Linked DNA regions of Kluyveromyces lactis. The protein of the gene in region 2 purifies or fractionates together with the protein of the main gene of each other region. This does not show direct contact. Links are inferred from orthologs where the notes say so. Each region holds a gene or a part of one and is shown on either strand. Other genes may lie near its edges. The genes, in order: PUF6, FUN12, TIF35, NIP1 and RPG1.

Region 1 (3,855 bases), on a different chromosome or scaffold from region 2:
GAGTCTCCCTTCGGACAACACTAAGGCTCTATCAATTTTCGGCAGTAGCGTTATGCCATCAATTCCTGTTGGTCTGTCTTCATTGAAGTTGACTTCCGAGATCAGTGTGAAATTTCCAACATCTAATTCATAATAGTGTAGTAACGCTCCTGAAGTCGAGCCCAGGTAGATGTGCTGACCATAATATTCGATACATGAGTACTCATATTCATGAGGCACATTCTCGATTAATGGTGAAACAGCATATAATCCATCGGTTACTTCAAAGGCAGTTGAAATGGGTTTCTCTTTAGTATCGTCATTCATAAGCCATCAATGCCACTGCTGTAATTAGTGAATTGAGGAATAAATGTTCTTAGCTGTATTATCTCTGGTTCGCAGATGATAGTCTCATTTAAGGAAGTGTGAATCTTAATAGTAGACTAGAACGTCCTTCGTCCACAATGATGAGAAGCTATATCATCTTTAATATACATATTTTAGAGCCAAACTATATAACGACTTGACTATACATACTCAATGCTTCATTAGCTTTAGAAGTAGTTGAGCACCCTTGTTTGAATCGTTCGTCTCTATTTTCTTGATCACTTTTTTCAAATCATGATCGAATTGTTCCCCTTCTTCAGTCCCATGTAAGGCTTCATACAATGCCACAATGGTAAAAGAACTGTTGGGTTTGTTGATCCAATCGAGTAGGTTGCTGGAATCAATGATGTCTTCATAAAATTTTTCAGCAAATGGAATACCAAGTCCCTGAACTTTTTCTAGAGGTTCTAGTTTTCTTGCTTTCACGTTGTATCTACCATTTTGAATGAGAGACTTTAGCAACCTTGCCGAAAATGGTTTGTTAATAGGGTGGTCTTCTTCTGAAATGTCACCTTTGAAATAAATGGCGACGGTGTCCACAAGCTCGGCAAACAACTTTTGATCAGACTCTGAAAGTTGTTCATAGACATCATCGTTAACGAGTAAATCTGCGACAAATTGAGAACCGATGTTTTCATCTAGAATGGTTTTGTAGTGTTCGTTTACGCCAGATAAAATCATTGGTGCGAACCTTTTTAATAATTCAAGTCTTCTTTGGTCAAATGGCTTCTTGGAAGTAGTTTCCGACATCTTAATGTATCTTTGTAGTTCATTCTTCATATTTGGACCGAAGTATTTACCATCTAATCCTAAAAGTAGGAATAAGAGCGGCCTCCTACCAAATTTATCAACAATCAATTCTGGAAGATGTTCCTTAATTGGTGGGGAAAATGCCTTGGAGACGAGAACAGTATCATCGACTGTCATTAATAAAGTTATGAAAACAACGGCACCGTGTTCATTTTGAATTAACTTGATTGCATGTTCTTTCAAGGTCTTTATCAACCCCTTTCTTTCTTTGGCATTTGCTTTAGCGATTAAAGTAGATGCAACTTCTGCACCTTCTGGGGTATGCACTAATTCCGCAAAGTTCTCTTCTAAAAGTTCGATGAACTCAGATGTTTCTTTATCGTTGGCGATTTTGACGTATTCCCTCATTGCTGCGTGTAAAATCTGGAAACCTGCCGAACCTTTTTCAACAGAAGCAGTGATGGTACCAATCAAGTTTCTAGCGATAATATTTCTCTTTTCTACGCTGGAAGCACAAACTTCTTCGAGCGTAAGTTCCTTATGAGATTCTCTGAATACGGCGTATTCTGAACCCCAAAATTCTCTGATCATTTGATTTCTTTGTTCTTGAGAGGCATAAAGAACAAACAAATCTTCGACCACATAGGCACCTTCACGGTGTCTCATTAGTTTTCTCAAATTACCATGTAGTTGATCGATTATGATTTGTCTAGATTTTCGGGAACCATAATGTAACAATTTAACCAACAAATATTTACCATATGATGATGTGGCCAAAACATAAATTTTATCTTTCAATGCCAACGTGATCTGTTCTCTGCGCTCTTTGGAAGAATATTTGACTAATGTCTGGACAATTCTGGATGCATCATGCTTCAATACTAAATCTTCAATACAATCATTCGAGAGTTCCCAGATCTCATTACATAGCTTTTCACGGACAGGCTTTGGAATTGGAGGGTTCTTGACACGTAATCTTTCCCATAAAGACTTGATCTGCTGGACTGTTTCACCAGATTTACGCTGAAGTTTTCTCTCCTTTAATGTTTTTCTTTGTTCGGCATGCTGGCTGACACCATTACTTTCTTTTTTGTCTGCATCATTTCCGGTTCCAGCATCTTCTTCATCTTCAGCATCTTCTTGATCCTCATCAGATTCATCCAGTTGATCAGATTCGTTGTCTAGCTCGTCTGAATCTGAATTTGAGCTAGCATCATCTAATTCATCATCTAGCTCATCTTCTGAAGATAAACCGTGGAGGACATCATCAGAATCTTCATCGCCAGAATCAACACTAATGTTTTTAGCTCTTTTTACAATTTTACCAGAATCCTTCGACTCCTTAGATTCCAATTGACGCTTGTTCAACTTTTTCGACGTGGCTGCCATATCTGTAGTGCTGTATTGTCCTACGAGAGAGAATAAGAATGTATATGTTGTTATTTAATGCTACCCATAGTGCAGTTACTACTGTATAAGCTCATCTCATCTCATCGCTTCTTTTTCAAGTTCAGAAAATTTTCATAATATGCTAAAAAGAAAGAACTCAAATAAACATTCGCCAGAATCTCTCTTTTTTTGATGGGGGGAATATACAGTTGGTACAGGATTTGGCTGATTAAACCGAATATGGCAGTTTATTACATGCTTCAAAGATTTAGCTCTATTTCTCGAAAGCTCTCTCTTCCGAGTTAGTTAATTATGAAATGAGTAAATGTCACCCTTTCAAACTAACGAGATTTTTATTGTAAATCACAAACAAGTTGAGTTTTACACATGACAATGATAATATTACAGTAGTAATTGTGGACAACTTTAGCAGCTATAGTTGTTAATTCTAAAAGATTTTATGGTTATCTATATACTCAACTTCATATGAAGTTCATTGAAAAACCAAGACAGTAGCTTCGGGTATGAGAATAAGAGGGAATGACTGCATTTACATTAACTTTCAAGTAGTTCATCGGAGGGTTTATCCTTTTGATAAGCTTCCATGTCCTTTTCTCTAAATCTCCTTTGCATTTCGCTATTTTGTTGCTTTCTCTTCTTGGCTAGTTGTTTGGAAGCTTTGATGTTGAATCCATCACTTAAAATAGTTTGTACTTCCTCCAATTCTAGACCAGATAGTTCTGGATAACAGAGATAACAGAAGACGGTAGATACTGCAGCTAGTGCAGCAAATAATGAAAATGTACCAGTCGGTGTTATGTTTTGTAACATTGTTAGGAAGGTAGATGCAATAATTAGGGAACCAGCCCAGTTAGTAGCTGTACAATAAGAAGTACCTACACCTCTAACGGATGTTGCAAATAATTCAGATTGCTGCCATGGTACAGTACCGATACCTAGAGCATAGAATGCTGCATATACCATGATGAATACGATAACGACTATACCCCAAGAACTGAATCCACCATTGGAAACTTCCGATTCACCAGCGCCAGTGAATTTTATATCTAGGAAATGGAAGGCGATAGCACACATAACCAAGGAAACCATCATACCAGGCAAGCCAATCAAAAGGATTGCTCTACGACCGACCTTATCAATCGCAAAGAAAGCGACTAAAGTGAATACGAAGTTAGTACCGGCAACGATGATAGACACTGCAGTAGAATTTTCGAAACCAACAGTTTGAAAAATAGTACCAGAGAAATACATTAAAGAATTCCAACCACAGAATTGTTGAATACCTTGTAAAGCACAACCGATCACCAATGCCCTGAAATTGCATGGGAC
Region 2 (3,993 bases):
GGTTGCTTGTTCAAACGGATACCAACACCTTCCAATTCCTTTTCAATGATTTGTTTATGATGCAATGGTTTATTAACGTCCAAAACAATAAATAGTAGATTACAAGTTCTGGCCACAGCGATAACTTGTTTACCACGACCACGGCCATCTTTAGCACCGTCAATGATACCCGGCAAATCCAACATTTGAATCTTAGCACCCTTATATTTGATGACACCTGGAACCGTAACTAAAGTGGTAAACTCGTACTCAGCAGCCTCAGATTCTGTACCAGTCAGCTTAGAAAGTAAAGTACTCTTACCCACTGAGGGGAACCCAACAAATCCGACTGAAGCAACACCGGTCCTGGCCACATCGAAACCAACACCGGCACCACCACCACTACCGCTTGAAGCAGCCTGCAATAACTCTCTTCTAAGTTTCGCTAGCTTAGCTTTCAACTGACCCAAATGAAAAGAAGTGGCCTTATTCTTTTGGGTACGGGCCATCTCATCTTCGATGGCCTTAATCTTCTCTACTGTCGTAGACATCTTTTATTTCAATTCAGATATTGATCAGGAAATTCTTCAAAATAAATCCTTTTTTTATAATTTGATGCCAACCTCAGTGGAATACTGACTGATACCTATCGATTCCAACCGTTTAACTGATTTTGGCCTCTGTAACCAAACTATAATGAAACTCTAATATCATTAATCCTAAGCGATGAGATTGTGAATATCTGTAGAACTTCCTACTGTTGACAAAGATGAAGCTGTCAATTTTTTTCAAGCCGTCCAAGGTGATATTTTATACATCTTCAACGCCGATCGTAAATAGCGATGCTGAATGGCATCGACCGGTCTTCACCCCGAAAATAAGGCTAATGGGACCTTTCTGGCCCCTGAAAGATGAATTTTGGGCGCACCTCACCAAAGACAGGGTAATCTAGTATGTTATTTTTTTCTTTCCATCGAGGTACGTATAATCATGAACTTGAAGTTTTTCATCAGTTTTTTATTTTTTAGTACAGGTTTTTCTCACAACTTAAAACTATTTGAAAGATTGTTTTGCGTAAGATCAATTAAAAGGATTTTACATTATCTCTTTACTTGTTATAACCCTCTTTTACACTTTGTTTGCTGTCTATCATAATAAGATTTCGGAAGAACTGTAAAAGTAGAACCTTTGTATCCGAAAGAGTAGTTCAAGATGGCGAAAAAATCAAAGAAGAATCAACAGAATTACTGGGACGAAGAGTATGAGGAAGATGTTCCTCAAGAATCTTCAGTAGAACCCTCGATAGATGGTTCTGTTGAGCCAAGTGGTGAAACCGAAGTTGCCGATGCATCTGCCATTGAGGAAGATTTTATGTCCACTTTGAAGAAATCTAAGAAGAAGCTGGACAAGAAGGAAGACGAGGATACTAAGAAGCCAGTCTTGAAGTCCAAGAAGGAAAAGGAAAAGGAAAAGAAGGAGAAGGAGAAGGAGAAGAAGAGGGAACAAGCCGCAAAGAAGAAGGCTCAGCAACAAGCGCAGAAGGAAAACAACAAGAAACTTCATGCTGAACAAACTTCTAAACTGAAGGCTGAAAAGGAGGCTGGCAAGTCCACTGAAGGTGCGGCACCAAAGGCTGCACCAAAGAAGAAGGTCCCAGCCGGTCTTGCTGCTTTGAAACGTCAATTGGAGTTACAAAAGCAGCTAGAAGAAGAAGAAAGGTTGGCCAGGGAAGAAGAAGAGAGATTGGAGAAGGAAGAAGAAGAAAAGTTGGCCAAGGCTGAACAAGAAAAGGAAGAAGCTAGAAAGGCTAAGCGTGAGAGAGAACAAGCTAAGCGTGAAAAGTTAAAGGCAGAGGGTAAACTTCTAACTAAGAAACAAAAGGAGGAAAAGAAACTGCTTGAAAACAGACGTGCTGCTCTATTGGCTGCCGGTAACATCAAGGTTGCTGGTCTAGAAAAATCCGGCGATGAGCATCCAAAACCAAAGAAGGTTGTTTACGGTAAAAGAGTCAGAAAGACCAAGGAACAAATCGAGTCCGAAAAGGCAATCGAAGAAGAGAAGAAGAAAGCTACTGAAACTCAAGAAGTCGAAGAAGAAGAGGAAGCGTTGATTGATGACTGGGAGAATTTGGCTCTTGACGATGAACCTGAAGAACAAGAAGGAAAAGAAGAAACAAGTGAAAAAGAGCAATATTCTGGTTCTGAAACTTCTAATGCTACTACTCCAGCTCCGGAATTATCCACTGAAGTTACCAAAAACTATGCTTCTCAACCAATCCCTTCCAAGAGATCTGCAGCAGCAGCAAAGAAAGATCTTCGTTCTCCAATCTGCTGTATCTTGGGTCATGTCGATACTGGTAAAACCAAGTTGTTAGATAAGATTAGACAAACCAACGTTCAAGGCGGTGAAGCTGGTGGTATTACCCAACAAATCGGTGCCACTTATTTCCCAATTGACGCTATTGAACAAAAAACCGCAGTTATGGCTAAGTATGAAGAACAAACCTTCGATGTCCCAGGTTTGTTAGTCATTGATACACCAGGTCACGAATCTTTTACCAACTTGCGTTCCAGAGGTTCCTCTTTGTGTAACATCGCCATCTTAGTTATTGATATCATGCATGGTTTAGAACAACAAACCATTGAATCCATCAGATTATTGAGAGACAGAAAGGCTCCTTTCATCGTTGCCTTGAATAAGATCGATAGATTGTACGACTGGGTAATTACACCAAACAACTCTTTCAGAGACTCCTTTGACAAACAAGAACGAGCAGTTAAGCAAGAGTTCCAAACTAGACTTGACAACATCAAAGTCGCTCTTGCTGAACAAGGTTTGAACTCAGAATTGTATTTCCAAAACAACAACCTAGCCAAATACGTCTCTATTGTTCCAACATCTGCCGTTACAGGTGAAGGTGTTCCTGATTTGTTGTGGTTGCTATTAGAATTGACTCAAAAGAGAATGTCTAAGCAATTGAAATATTTGTCTCACGTTGAAGCTACAATTCTTGAAGTGAAGGTTGTTGAAGGTTTCGGTACCACTATCGATGTTATTCTATCTAATGGTTACTTAAGAGAGGGTGACAGAATCGTTTTATGTGGTATGAACGGTCCGATTGTGACGAATATCAGAGCCTTGTTGACACCTCAACCCTTACGTGAGTTACGTTTGAAGTCTGAATATCAACATCACAAAGAAGTCAAGGCTGCTCTAGGTGTAAAAATTGCTGCAAATGATTTGGAAAAGGCTGTTTCTGGTTCCCGATTATTAGTTGTAGGTCCAGACGATGATGAAGAAGAAATGATGGATGACGTCATGGAAGATTTGACTGGTCTTTTAGACTCTGTGGATACTTCTGGTAGAGGTGTTGTTGTTCAAGCTTCTACATTGGGTTCATTAGAAGCTTTATTAGACTTCTTAAAAGACATGAAAATTCCTGTTATGTCTGTCGGATTAGGTCCTGTTTACAAGCGTGATATAATGAAGGCTTGTACTATGTTAGAAAAAGCTCCTGAATTAGCGGTTATGCTATGCTTTGATGTCAAGGTTGATAAGGAAGCAGAACAATATGCTGCAGAACAACATATCAAAATTTTCAATGCTGATATTATTTACCATTTATTCGATGCCTTCACAGCCTACCAGAAGGAACTACTTGAAAAGCGTCGTGCTGAGTTTATCGGTGACGCTACCTTCCCATGCGTCCTGAACACTCTACAAATCATTAACAAGCGTGGCCCTATGATCATTGGTGTGGATGTCATTGAAGGTTCATTGAAGATCGGTACTCCTATCTGTGCAGTGAAATATGACCCAGCAACAAAGGAGAGAATAACATTGTTGCTTGGTAGAGTCACTTCCTTGGAAATCAATCACCAATCTGTGACTGAAGTCAAGAAGGGTCAAACCAATGCAGGTGTTGCAATGCGTTTAGAAGATCCTTCCGGTCAGCAACCAATCTGGGGTCGTCATGTTGATGAAAAAGATACATTGTATTCTCACATCACTAGA
Region 3 (2,566 bases), on a different chromosome or scaffold from region 2:
CACATATTATATACTACGTACATCCGCTTAATATCTATGAAAAACGAAATCCACCAACATGTTTCATTGATCGGTTTGAATTTCTGAAAGAGTTAGACGATATATCTTGGAGTTTGTAATATACAGGTAGATACGTAACACACATAGTACTCGAATGTAGTAATTATACACATATGCTATTGTATCGTTCGAGAGCAAAATGGGTCAAAGAATGTCATATAATATAACCGTATGATGCTGAGTGATATGCTCATTTGTTCAACCAGGAAGTAAGATTATTAGGATACACATACGTCACGCTACGCAGAGATATCCCATGTTATGAAAGGAATGGGATAAATTGTAGGGAACAAATAAGCTGTAAGATAAGATGCAACAACTTTGAAGGTAGAAGTAAAGAGACCTTGGTATTGAAATAATGGGTTTAGAACTTAGTTTTGAAGTAGTTTTTCTCTTCAAAAAATACTATATCAGTTTGATCAGCGAGTTCTTACAGTTTATCATTCTTCTTTCTTTGGTTTTGGCTTAGACCATTCTGCGTGTAACATGAAATTCATGAAACCTCTGCCTTCCAATAATTTCAAAGCTTGAGCAGCAATTTCTTCAGTTTGGAAAGTAACGTAAGCAACACCACGGGATCTACCAGTTTCTGGGTTCTTGACGACGAATACTCTAGGAATCTCACCGAATGGGAAGAGTAATTCTCTTTTAAGCACTTCTTCATCTGCAAGTTCGTTAACCTGGGTCAATCTAATAGTCTTTGCATCATCACGTTCTCTTTGGTCTTGGTAAGCATTAGAAGATGGATCACGAGCACCAGCACGTAGGGATGGTGGCACGTATCTGCCAGAGCCAGAGCCTCCTTGAGCGCTCATATCTCCACCACCGATAGCCGGGTCTAAACCAGCAGATGTAGTAGGTTTCTTTCCCAAAGTGTCTTTGTACGGACAATGCATGGTGAAATGCGCACCACCACAAATTCTACAAGTAATTACCTTTTGAGTCGAGTTAGCAGCCTTCTCCTTTGCCTTTTCTTCTTCCATTTCCTTCCAGTTAGGAGACAAGTCTAACTCTAATTCTTCACCTAATTGAGTGGTTGAAATATCTGGTCCTGGGGCAGCTCCCTTATCAGCACCATATTTCTTCCAATTTCTTCTCAAGGCGATGTTCTTGTTAACTTTCTCGGTGACAGTAATTTCCTTAACCTTCTGCGTAACCTTGTACTTCTTACCATCTTGGATTTTGAAACTGATGACGGTTTTGGAACCATCGTCATTCTCGATGATTCTTGGTTCAGGAATAGCTGACATGTTGTGAATCTTTGTATTATCTCCTTAAAAAAATAGGATTGTAGAAAAAATTCCTTTAATTTCTAGACGCGTGTTATACTATCAACAATTAAGAAGCCCAATTCTGATTTGAGGTATGTCAAATATCCTCCTTTCAAGTTATGGGTCTGTAGATAATCTGATCGATATCAATTAATTCTCTTTGAAGAAAAAAACTTCGCACAGATGATAGTCTCAAATTTTTGTTTCAGTTCTTTATTGAAACACGTAAATCGGATACACTTGGCGCAGTATACTCCTTTCTTCTATCAAACAGCTGGATGAAACCCTATGCACCTTCTAGGGTCACCTTACCATTACGTTTATTTTAGCAGGTAACTTAGAACTCATTTGAATTTCCATTTTTTTCTCTTCTCTTTCGCTGATTTTGCCTCTGTCTCTATGCGATGAGCTTTGGAAAATTTTCAAAATTTTCATCAGTAATGTATATCGTGTTGCACGGGTGTAACAGAGATCCGTAAGCTCCAGCACTAATTAGTTACCTTAATTATACCGTACTGTGTACACCAATCAATTCAGTTAATACCTTCTTGTTGATAAAAGCGTAGAGTAACTATATGCGAATACTTAACTTGACTTGTGAATATGTATCTGTTTCACGTGATATGAAGTACGGATCATTTTTATGTATATTGCATATTCATCAAAACGTATGTAGTGATTTGACAAAATTTTGATTATCCATTACTTCTTCTTTAGCAATGTATCCGACCCAATCAATACTGAAAGTAGTGGGAGTTCATCAATTTCTGCATAGGACGGTGTATCATCGGAAAGTATTAAGGGCAGAAAGTAATATTATCCTGCGTACTTCTCTGTCTCAAATTCAAATTCAAGGAATTTCACAGAGCTAAGGATATCATATATAAACTGCAAACGAACAGGAAAACGATGGCCAAGGCTAAGACAAAGACTACAGTTATCAAACTGATATCAACTGCTATGACAGGTGTGAGCCGTCATGTCACGATAAATAGAGCTGCACCATTAGTGACGCAGGTGAGGTACGACCCTGTAGCTAAACGTCATGTTTTGTTCAAAGAGGCCAAGAAAAGAAAGGTTGCAGAGAGGAAACCATTGGACTTCTTACGTACCGCAAGACGTTAATGAATTGTATTTAACAATTTAACCACACCATTTGCATGTATATAGAAAACACTCACACTGCAATAACTACCGTTGAAATAGACGTGATTTAAGAGTTCTATAGTAGTATC
Region 4 (4,189 bases), about 1.9 Mb from region 2:
TTGTCCATAAATGTGTATCATATACATATATATATAGAATGAACCAGCGCATAAACTGTATTGTTACGAGTCAATGTTCGAGATGTTATATGTCTCCAAAATTCAATTAATTGATTTCAAAAACTACGTAATTGCCTACAGTGAGAACTATGTTATATATTATCGATAATGTACAAATACTAGTATTTATTGCAAATGCTAAAACAAAGGTTCTTTGCCAACGACTCTGTCTATTAATATGCGCACGGTAAGTGAACAAAAGAAGGAAGAGCAAATTTTGTTATGTGTATGGAAGGTGAGTGCTACAATTAGAAACTGACCTTATCTGCTGAACGAAGAATGAAAATGTTTACTGGCGTAAACGTTCAGAGTGGTACTTGGTTTCTTTAACTAACTTGATGGCAACTTCTTCTAACTTTGTGATTTCTTCGCCTCTTTCGAAGATAATGTATTCGTTATTTTCATCCAATTTGGCTTTAACTTCGTAATCATTGATGATGTTTTGTGCTACAGCCAAAACCTTTTCGATATCAAGATCAAACAATTTCGATAATTTAGAAATGGATATTTTAGAGTAGAATCTCTTGTAAGTGAAAATGTAAGTTTTCAAAGTTTCAATTTGAACCTTTTCACTTAGTTGGTTGATGATATCATCAGATTTACTCAACAAAGACCACACAGAAATTTTCCTCAAATATTCGATCGATTGTAAGTAATCACCCTTTTGCATTGACTTTGCAGCATAAAGAATGTGATCTCTTAGAGTTTCTGGAGGACCATGGAAAATAGCTTTCTCTGAACTCTCTAGAATACGGCGGATAGATTTTTGGAAAACTGGGATTCTCTTGACCTTAATACCGCTGTAATAAGCTGCCATGTGAGGCACATCAAGTAATAAAGAACATGTCATGTAGACGGTGTCAATTAGATCCAAGTTGATGTGTTGATGGAAAGGAAGACATAATTGTTCAACAGGGGCACCCTGCACGACATTGCTGTTCGCATTAGCTCTTTGTAAACTTTGTTGACCCAAAATTTCTCTTAGATGTGGATTAATACAAAGACCGTTCAAAACTTGGTGACATTCATTTATTAAACCAGCCTTAAATGCAGCCAAACCAAGTTGAATAACACATCTATTGTACAAAATTTGTAATGCTGCATCAGAGCCTGAAATGAATTTAGCAATATCGGAAGAAAGCATTATTTTCTTTGCTGGAGCGTATTCTTGGTTCAATGCAATATAATATGTTTTGTACAAGGTACCTTTTCTGTAGTTGAACACGTTGTTACTCTTTTGTTTAATTAAGAAATCGGACAATTCAGAGATGACCTTGAAGTTGTAATCGGCATCTGCGGAATCTGATTCATTCAAACGAACGAAAGAGGATTCAAGGGACGCAGTTCCTTCACGAATTTGTTTCCATGCAACGGTTTCCATAATAGAGATGAGCTTGTCGGACTTGTAGTAGATATGTTCAAGTCTTCTGTTGAAGACACGGGCCAAAAGTCTATCGCGGTGTTCTTCTGCAGTTACACGTTCAAAGTACAATTGGGATCTGATAATCAAATTGTAAATAGATTGTTCATCTCTCAAACGTTCCATGTATTCACTGGAACGAGTGTCAATGTTCAAAAGGGATTTGCTAAATTCATCGTCCAATCTTTCAACCATAGAGAAGATAGAACCCAAAATTTCCTTGACACCATGCTCATTAGCTTCTGGTTCATCTTCAATGAAATCATTTCTTGGGGCAAATTCAGTAACTTGATAGTGGTCGATCTCTTGTTCCAGCACTTCCAATAAACCATCCAAGTTATCCTTTGATGCTTTCCATTGTTCTAGTGGTTGGTATGATAAGGATACAGATGCATCGAATCTGATTGGAATCAAGTTCAAGTATGTACAGATCTTTTCATATGGAGTCTTGGCAATCTTCAATAGTTCTTCGGTGGTTTTAATTTGTTCTGTGTGGTCAGTGTTTTTCTTACCTCTAGAATCGATGATAATATTCAACGTCTTGAAAAAGTCTAGCTCAGAAATGTTATTTGCCACGGATGCCAAGTCTAAATTCTTCTTACCACTCAAGGAGAATGGAGTAGCAGAGACATCTCTTGAGTCTATATCAGCATCTAAGACAGGTTCCTTGTCAAAGTCCTCTGGGTTTTCTCTGTAAGCCTTAACGGAGGTTTCGTTTTCTCTGATTAACTTCTTAACTCTTTGCTTGGTGGTGTTATAAGCTCTTGCAACTGCCTTATTCTTAATTTCATCCTGAGAAGTAGCAGATACCGCATCTTCAAATCTAGCCAATGACTTCACAAAGATATTAGGTGTACCGTAGTTTTGTTGTTGGGCTTTTGTGTATAATTTCAAAATGGTTTCCAAATGGTTTAATAATGATTCCCAATCTTGTTGGGCTTCTGCGGAATCAATTTTTTGGTAAATAGATTTCATTTCATCCAACAACTTCTCTTTTGCTGACTTCACAACCTTCTTACCATCTTCTTCGTCGGATGAGTCTTCATCAGATGAATAGTTGGTAGATTTCAAGAACTTGTTAGCACCTGAACCACCACCTTTTCTGAATTCTGGCTTCTTGAACCAGTCAGGGCCGTAGGGTTTGCTATCAGAATCATTGTCTTCATCATTATCGGAACTCTCATCAGAGTCGTTGAAGAAAGAGTCATCAGATAATTCTTCCTCACTGGAGGATGAAACTAAATCCTCTTCACTTTGAGATAACAAGTCTTCTTCTTCACCAGAAGACGTTGAATCGTACTCATATGTCTTCAAAAAAAAACGGGACATGATGAATGGACTATCGCTTAACGTTGTTCTATTTCCTTAATACCACGTACTAATCTCAACCTAGTCTCCCTGTTACGACCTGGTGATTCCAACCTACAATTGAAAAGTATTGCTTATTACACGTCTCAACTGAATTTCATCTATTAATTCGATTTCAAACCTTTCAGATTTTCTTTTGAGATGAGCTTTCACTGAGTGAAAATTTGTGAAAATTTTCAAATAATCATGGAACACGATTGGTAGCCGGGTAATGATAAATGAATGTACCATTGCAAAGAACAAAGTGAAGTGGGAGTCTGTCGCCGGTTGATGTTAGGCCAAAATGGACGTCTAACTTTGTGTGATTGCGTATAATCATCGATGATAAATAGGGTATAAAATAATATCGATTTAATTTAGTTATATGAAAAGTGAAATATAGATGTTGCTAAGAAATAAAATAATTTTGAAGCTTTCATACCATATACGATGCCTTCTTGATCGATGTTTTGTGGGCATACTTCGACAACGGGATAGATACATTTATGGTTCATGAAAATGTTCTGCTGTTGTGATATATAAAGTACTCTTTTAATGTTCTTTTTTTTTTTTAGTCCAGGAATTAAAATGGATAGTATCGCAATTTGAAGAATTCAAGTAGGTAATAAGTTAATATCACCTTTAGATAACAGCCGTAGTAACAAGTATGAATGGATCAATTTGCTGAAGGAATGTGTGACCTAAATGTGACATGAAAGCTTCATTTGTATAATTTTGAGTTGTTAATAGGAGACGAAAGGAAACAACAAGTCAACAATTATAACCGGTATCAAATGAGAAAGTGGAAGGGTAAAAAAAATACACACAATCTGTATTGTATGTTAAAGAGAAGAGAAGCTCAACTCAAAAATTAAGAGCTGAAATCACAATCCAACTTGAACTTCAAGTTTCTGTTGGCATCCCAAACACCCCAGTACTTTTCAACATCGGAAATACCAGAAGTATCTGGTTTCCAGTCCTCATCGAAAGCTTCGAAAACGATAACGTTGACACCCCAGCCTCTCATAGCACAAATACCATCAGCCCAAAATTGCTTAGCGTTATCTAGACCTGGGTAAGCACTTTCAAAGTTGGTACCATCGGTTGGCCAGCCAGTTTCACCAACCCAGAATTGAATGTCAGTAGAACCCTTGGTAGTTTGGATAGTTTGTAGAGCTTGCATGATATCGTCGAAGAACGAGTAAGAAGCATTATCCATAGTTTGACCTTGCCAGTAAGAGAAGGCGTTCGCCATGACAAAGTCAGCAGCTTGAATGGCGGTAGCAGATCCACCATCGACCAAAACGTTCCATGAGTCAACAGTACCGACTTGCTTGCCACTGTAAGAGTTACCATCGGAAT
Region 5 (4,129 bases), on a different chromosome or scaffold from region 2:
TCTGAATGAGATATGCAAGATATTAACCTCTTCCAGCATTCATTCTCTTCAGTCTCAACTTTTCAGCCATAGACATTGGTTTATTGGATACCGGAGCAGTTTGTGCTGGTGCTGGTGCTGGGGTTGGAGTAGAAGGAACAGGGCTAGATCTAGAGCTACCGTTCTTCTTTTCAAGAAGTTCTTCGATTTCTCTTTGCTTTCTAGCAATTTCGTCTCTTTCCTTGTTGATTCTTTCACGTTCGGCACGTCTCTTGGCAAGTTCTTCCTCCTTAGCCAAAGCCTCCTTTTCAGCAGCTTCAGCTTCAATTGCAGCTTGTATTTCAGCAACTTTAGCTTCATAACGTTCCTTACGGACTTGTTCAATTCTTTGCTTCTTAGCTTCTTCTAATTGAGCTTCCTTCAAGGCGCGTTGTTTTTCTAACTCTTCCTTCTTTTCAGCGATAACAGATGACTTGTATTGGTTGAAAGTACTGTAGATTTTGTTCAAACGTTGATGTAGAGCCAATTTCTTTTCATAGTCGGCCTTGGAAGTCTCAATTAACTTCTTCTTGAAATTGTCGTAATTCTCTCTATCCCTCTTTTTTTGCTCTTCAGCGTCCTTTTCTAACAATGGCAATTCCATTTGTCTATAGGCTCTTTCCAGGTGATCTAACTTCTTGAAGGCATAGGTCATACGTTCAGTCAAATCCTTCTTGTTCTTGGCTACTTGTTCAATGACCATTTGGTTGATCTTATCACTTGTTAGGTTCTTGGCTTCCTTTGGATCAATATGAATGACACCATTGGCATTAGTTTCAGCAATCAACTTCTTCATTTCTTGTTCATGGATCGCTTCTCTCTCACGTTCCATCATTTCTTCAGCACGACGTTCCGCTTCTTTCTCCATAGAAGATTCAACAGCAGCCTTTTCCTCAGCCATACGTCTTTGCCTTTCTTCTAGAGCCTTCTTGGCAAGAATCTTGTTTTCTTCTTCGCTTCTCTTCTTGCGTTCAGCGTTACTCTTAGCTCTAATTTCAGCAGCTTCCTTTTCTAACTTGATAACTTCTTCCTTTCTTCTGATCAATTCTTCACGCACAAGTTTGACTCTGTAATAGTAAGAACCATTTTCGTATTCTTCGTTGGCCTTTAAGATCTTGGATAGATCAGTCAACTTAGAACGGACTTCTGAGTTACGAGTGAAGACTTGTTCATTCTGTTCCTCATCAGCATGCGTTTCTTGGGAGGTTTCCTCTTCGGATTCAGAGTTCTTTGCTTCATCAGAAGTGCTAGATTCGGGAACTTCAACAAGAGATGCTTGCCAAGCGTCAAATGGATCTTGGGCAAATGAAACGGTATCAGTTTCATGGTCAATGGAAATACTAACATAATCATCCATAGCAGCTTGGATTAAGTATTTTTCTAGTTCAAAAACAGATAATTCGAAAGGAGCTGGCAGTGACAACATTTCATGCAATTCAACTAAGTGAATAGATGTTTGAGCCTTTGAGACTTCAATGATGGATCTTCTGATGAATAGGTTTCTCAATGGAGCCACGTATTGGGCGAAATATGGCTTTTCAACCAAGTTTGGCAAAAGTGCAGACAATTGAGACTTAGCAGACTTCACATCGAAATTAGTTTCCAATATATTGAAGAATTTCAAAATATCAGCGTCAGCTTTCTCTACGACTTGTTGTTCACCAGCAGCAGTAATCAAATCCTTTCTCTTTGGTTTACTTTCAAGGTCTAGTAAGTCACATAGACGAATTTGAGGATCGAAACCAGCAATTGGTAAGTCATCCAATTGAATTGCCAAAGCGGACAAGACAAATTGAGATGAATAGAACTTAAAGTCTTCTTCGGAAGCATTTGGATTCTTCAAGTACAAATTGTAGAATTTTTCCCATGCAGCAGCGTGCAATAAATAGTTACCAGAGACAAAGAAGATCTTGGCCAAATTTTCGTAGTAGTTGGCCAACACAGAGGGCTTTGGAGCACGCTTCGAGAGACGCATCAAATGATGAACATCTTCAATGGATCTGAAAGCTTCATGCCATAATTCCAATTTAACAGAAACGTTAACTTGTTGGAAACGTTGGTCAGAATAACGTTGCAAAGTGTCAGGATCTGATAAATCGACAGTGTGGTGACCATATCTCTGTTGTTGGTAGTTTGCGGCATCCAAATGTTGACGTAACATTTCAGCTAAACGCTTGAATTCATTCTTACGGTTATATTTGTAACAGAATTGCATGGTTCTGTTAACAACACCCGCATACGTGATTTCCAATTGAGAATTATTTCTCAAGAAATCTAGAGTGGTACGGTAAGATTCCCAGGTAAATCTCAACCAAGCTGAAACATCATCATTGTTGAATCCACCAACAGTTTGTTCTTGTTCGTAAACAGAAACCAACAAATTTTCTGGGGTGACACCACCCTCTAGATCCTCTTCGGCTTGGTCCTTGTTGGATTCTTCTTTGGCATCAGTTTGCGCTTGGATGTTGGTCATCTTAGTTTCGATCAAATCGATGAATTTACGAGCAACAGCACCTACAGAAATCAAACCTTCGGGAGTGTGTTGCATATGCTTCTTGTATTGGTATAAACCTTCCTTGATCATTTTACCCTTCCTCAATTCAACACCAAGTTCCAAGAACTTGAAGATTATAGGTTCCAAAGTGGCAGCATCAGCAAAACGAGACCTTCTTGAAGATAATAAATCAAATAGAGATTGCAACGCAGCCATTGGCTCGCCAACAGAGACTAATTCGTCAGCTCTTCTAATGGCATTCTCAGGACGTAAAGCCGGTGGAGCCATGATGAAATGCTAGTATAATCGATGGGTCGAGAACGGTTGTTATCTACCCTTTCTAAATCAGAGACTAGATCCAAGTATATATCTTTATTTTGCAAGGTGCAATAGGAAGAAGTTTCACATAAATAGACTGAAAAGTTTTTTTTCACTTATTCTCTTTGATCTTCAACGGAAGCATGCTGAAAAATTTCAACCTTCATCAAAAGTTGATATCATTGAGAACGAAGTTGAAGTTTATGTGCTATGTCGCGAGTACATATCACATATGTATAATATATATATATATATAAATGTATCATATTAGAAATGAATAGTATAATTCAAGATGATTGCACCATTAGATCAACAAGTTCATTGACGGGATCCTCATCGTGTCTTGCTGTTTCAATGTTTGTGAGTACTTTTTTCACGCCGACGTTGAGAGTAGATGTAACTTGGGATAATTTGCGGATAACTTCGACTCTACCAGCATCGTCAAGAAATCCGGAATCTGTCATAATGTTATTCAGTTCATCTAGGTTTGATACGTTTGGGACAGCAATTTCGTTGTCGAAACAACTTAGTATATCCATTTGCTTAAGCACCGTGTAAGCGGACGTAGTAGAGATGATAAGCAAACGACGATTATTTGGAGGTTTTCTTTTCAAATAGACCTTGAGTACTTGTAGGATATTATTAGAGAACCTTGGACCAATTGGAACCCAGTCAACTAGAGTCTCTATCGAATCGATAACTAGAATGTTAAGTGGCGATTTGTAAGCATCTCTGAAGGTATTGTCGATGTATGCGATCTTGGCCGTTTCCGACATACCTGCTATTTCTTCAGGGGAAATTAATCTAACAAATGGGAACTCAGACTTCAATGCAATGGCGGCAGCTAAGGCAGTTTTTCCTGAACCTGGAGGACCATGCACTAGTAAGGATACTAGTCTTGATTTGTCTGACTCTCTCACTTGACGGACGTATCTAGCACCGTTTTTCAAAATGTCGTCTACGGAGTTGGAGAACCTAAAGACTCCACCTTCTACGCAAGTCTTCAAATCTTCTTCACTAACACCAAACGCAGGAGTCACTTCATCTAACGCATTCAAGAAATCTTGTCTAGTCACCTTCATGTTTGCAATGTCTTTGGTTTTTAGTTTGGTTGCCCCTTTTCCGATATTTACAGTCTTGTTGATTGCAAAAGAACTAGCACTCTTCACCAAACCCTCAATTTCAGCACCGGAGAAATTCTTCGTGAGTGATGCAAGTTCTTTCAAGCTAACATCATGTGCGAGCATGTTGTTTTCTCTCATTTTCTTGGTTTGGATTTCGAAGATTTGTTCTCTACCT

Evidence for each region.
Region 1: the proteins of FUN12 (region 2) and PUF6 purify together in Saccharomyces cerevisiae (affinity purification with mass spectrometry; 3 studies listed by BioGRID, with this or other methods). This does not show direct contact. The link is inferred for Kluyveromyces lactis from reciprocal best matches to the Saccharomyces cerevisiae genes FUN12 and PUF6.
Region 3: the proteins of FUN12 (region 2) and TIF35 purify together in Saccharomyces cerevisiae (affinity purification with mass spectrometry; 3 studies listed by BioGRID). This does not show direct contact. The link is inferred for Kluyveromyces lactis from reciprocal best matches to the Saccharomyces cerevisiae genes FUN12 and TIF35.
Region 4: the proteins of FUN12 (region 2) and NIP1 purify together in Saccharomyces cerevisiae (affinity purification with mass spectrometry; 4 studies listed by BioGRID). This does not show direct contact. The link is inferred for Kluyveromyces lactis from reciprocal best matches to the Saccharomyces cerevisiae genes FUN12 and NIP1.
Region 5: the proteins of FUN12 (region 2) and RPG1 purify together in Saccharomyces cerevisiae (affinity purification with mass spectrometry; 3 studies listed by BioGRID, with this or other methods). This does not show direct contact. The link is inferred for Kluyveromyces lactis from reciprocal best matches to the Saccharomyces cerevisiae genes FUN12 and RPG1.

The regions. Positions count from the first base shown.
Region 1 is NC_006039.1:1,047,763-1,051,617, reverse strand, and holds PUF6 (pumilio-family RNA binding domain-containing protein), read right to left. Parts: upstream 2,506-3,855; coding exon 517-2,505; downstream 1-516. Other genes in the region: CORVET complex subunit VPS3, read right to left, coding at 1-306; myo-inositol transporter ITR1, read right to left, coding at 3,061-3,855. UniProt on the Saccharomyces cerevisiae protein: RNA-binding protein involved in post-transcriptional regulation. Component of the ASH1 mRNP which transports the ASH1 mRNA to the distal tip of the bud, where the ASH1 protein is translated and targeted to the daughter cell nucleus.
Region 2 is NC_006042.1:2,170,627-2,174,619, reverse strand, and holds the start of FUN12 (translation initiation factor eIF5B), read left to right. Parts: upstream 1-1,191; coding exon 1,192-3,993. Other genes in the region: GTP-binding protein RBG1, read right to left, coding at 1-530. UniProt on the Saccharomyces cerevisiae protein: Plays a role in translation initiation. Translational GTPase that catalyzes the joining of the 40S and 60S subunits to form the 80S initiation complex with the initiator methionine-tRNA in the P-site base paired to the start codon.
Region 3 is NC_006038.1:65,483-68,048, forward strand, and holds TIF35 (translation initiation factor eIF3 core subunit g), read right to left. Parts: upstream 1,311-2,566; coding exon 501-1,310; downstream 1-500. Other genes in the region: MRPL39 (mitochondrial 54S ribosomal protein bL33m), read left to right, coding at 2,241-2,456. UniProt on the Saccharomyces cerevisiae protein: RNA-binding component of the eukaryotic translation initiation factor 3 (eIF-3) complex, which is involved in protein synthesis of a specialized repertoire of mRNAs and, together with other initiation factors, stimulates binding of mRNA and methionyl-tRNAi to the 40S ribosome.
Region 4 is NC_006042.1:279,806-283,994, forward strand, and holds NIP1 (translation initiation factor eIF3 core subunit c), read right to left. Parts: upstream 2,810-4,189; coding exon 350-2,809; downstream 1-349. Other genes in the region: BGL2 (glucan 1,3-beta-glucosidase), read right to left, coding at 3,699-4,189. UniProt on the Saccharomyces cerevisiae protein: Component of the eukaryotic translation initiation factor 3 (eIF-3) complex, which is involved in protein synthesis of a specialized repertoire of mRNAs and, together with other initiation factors, stimulates binding of mRNA and methionyl-tRNAi to the 40S ribosome.
Region 5 is NC_006039.1:1,266,388-1,270,516, forward strand, and holds RPG1 (translation initiation factor eIF3 core subunit a), read right to left. Parts: upstream 2,801-4,129; coding exon 23-2,800; downstream 1-22. Other genes in the region: AAA family ATPase SEC18, read right to left, coding at 3,118-4,129.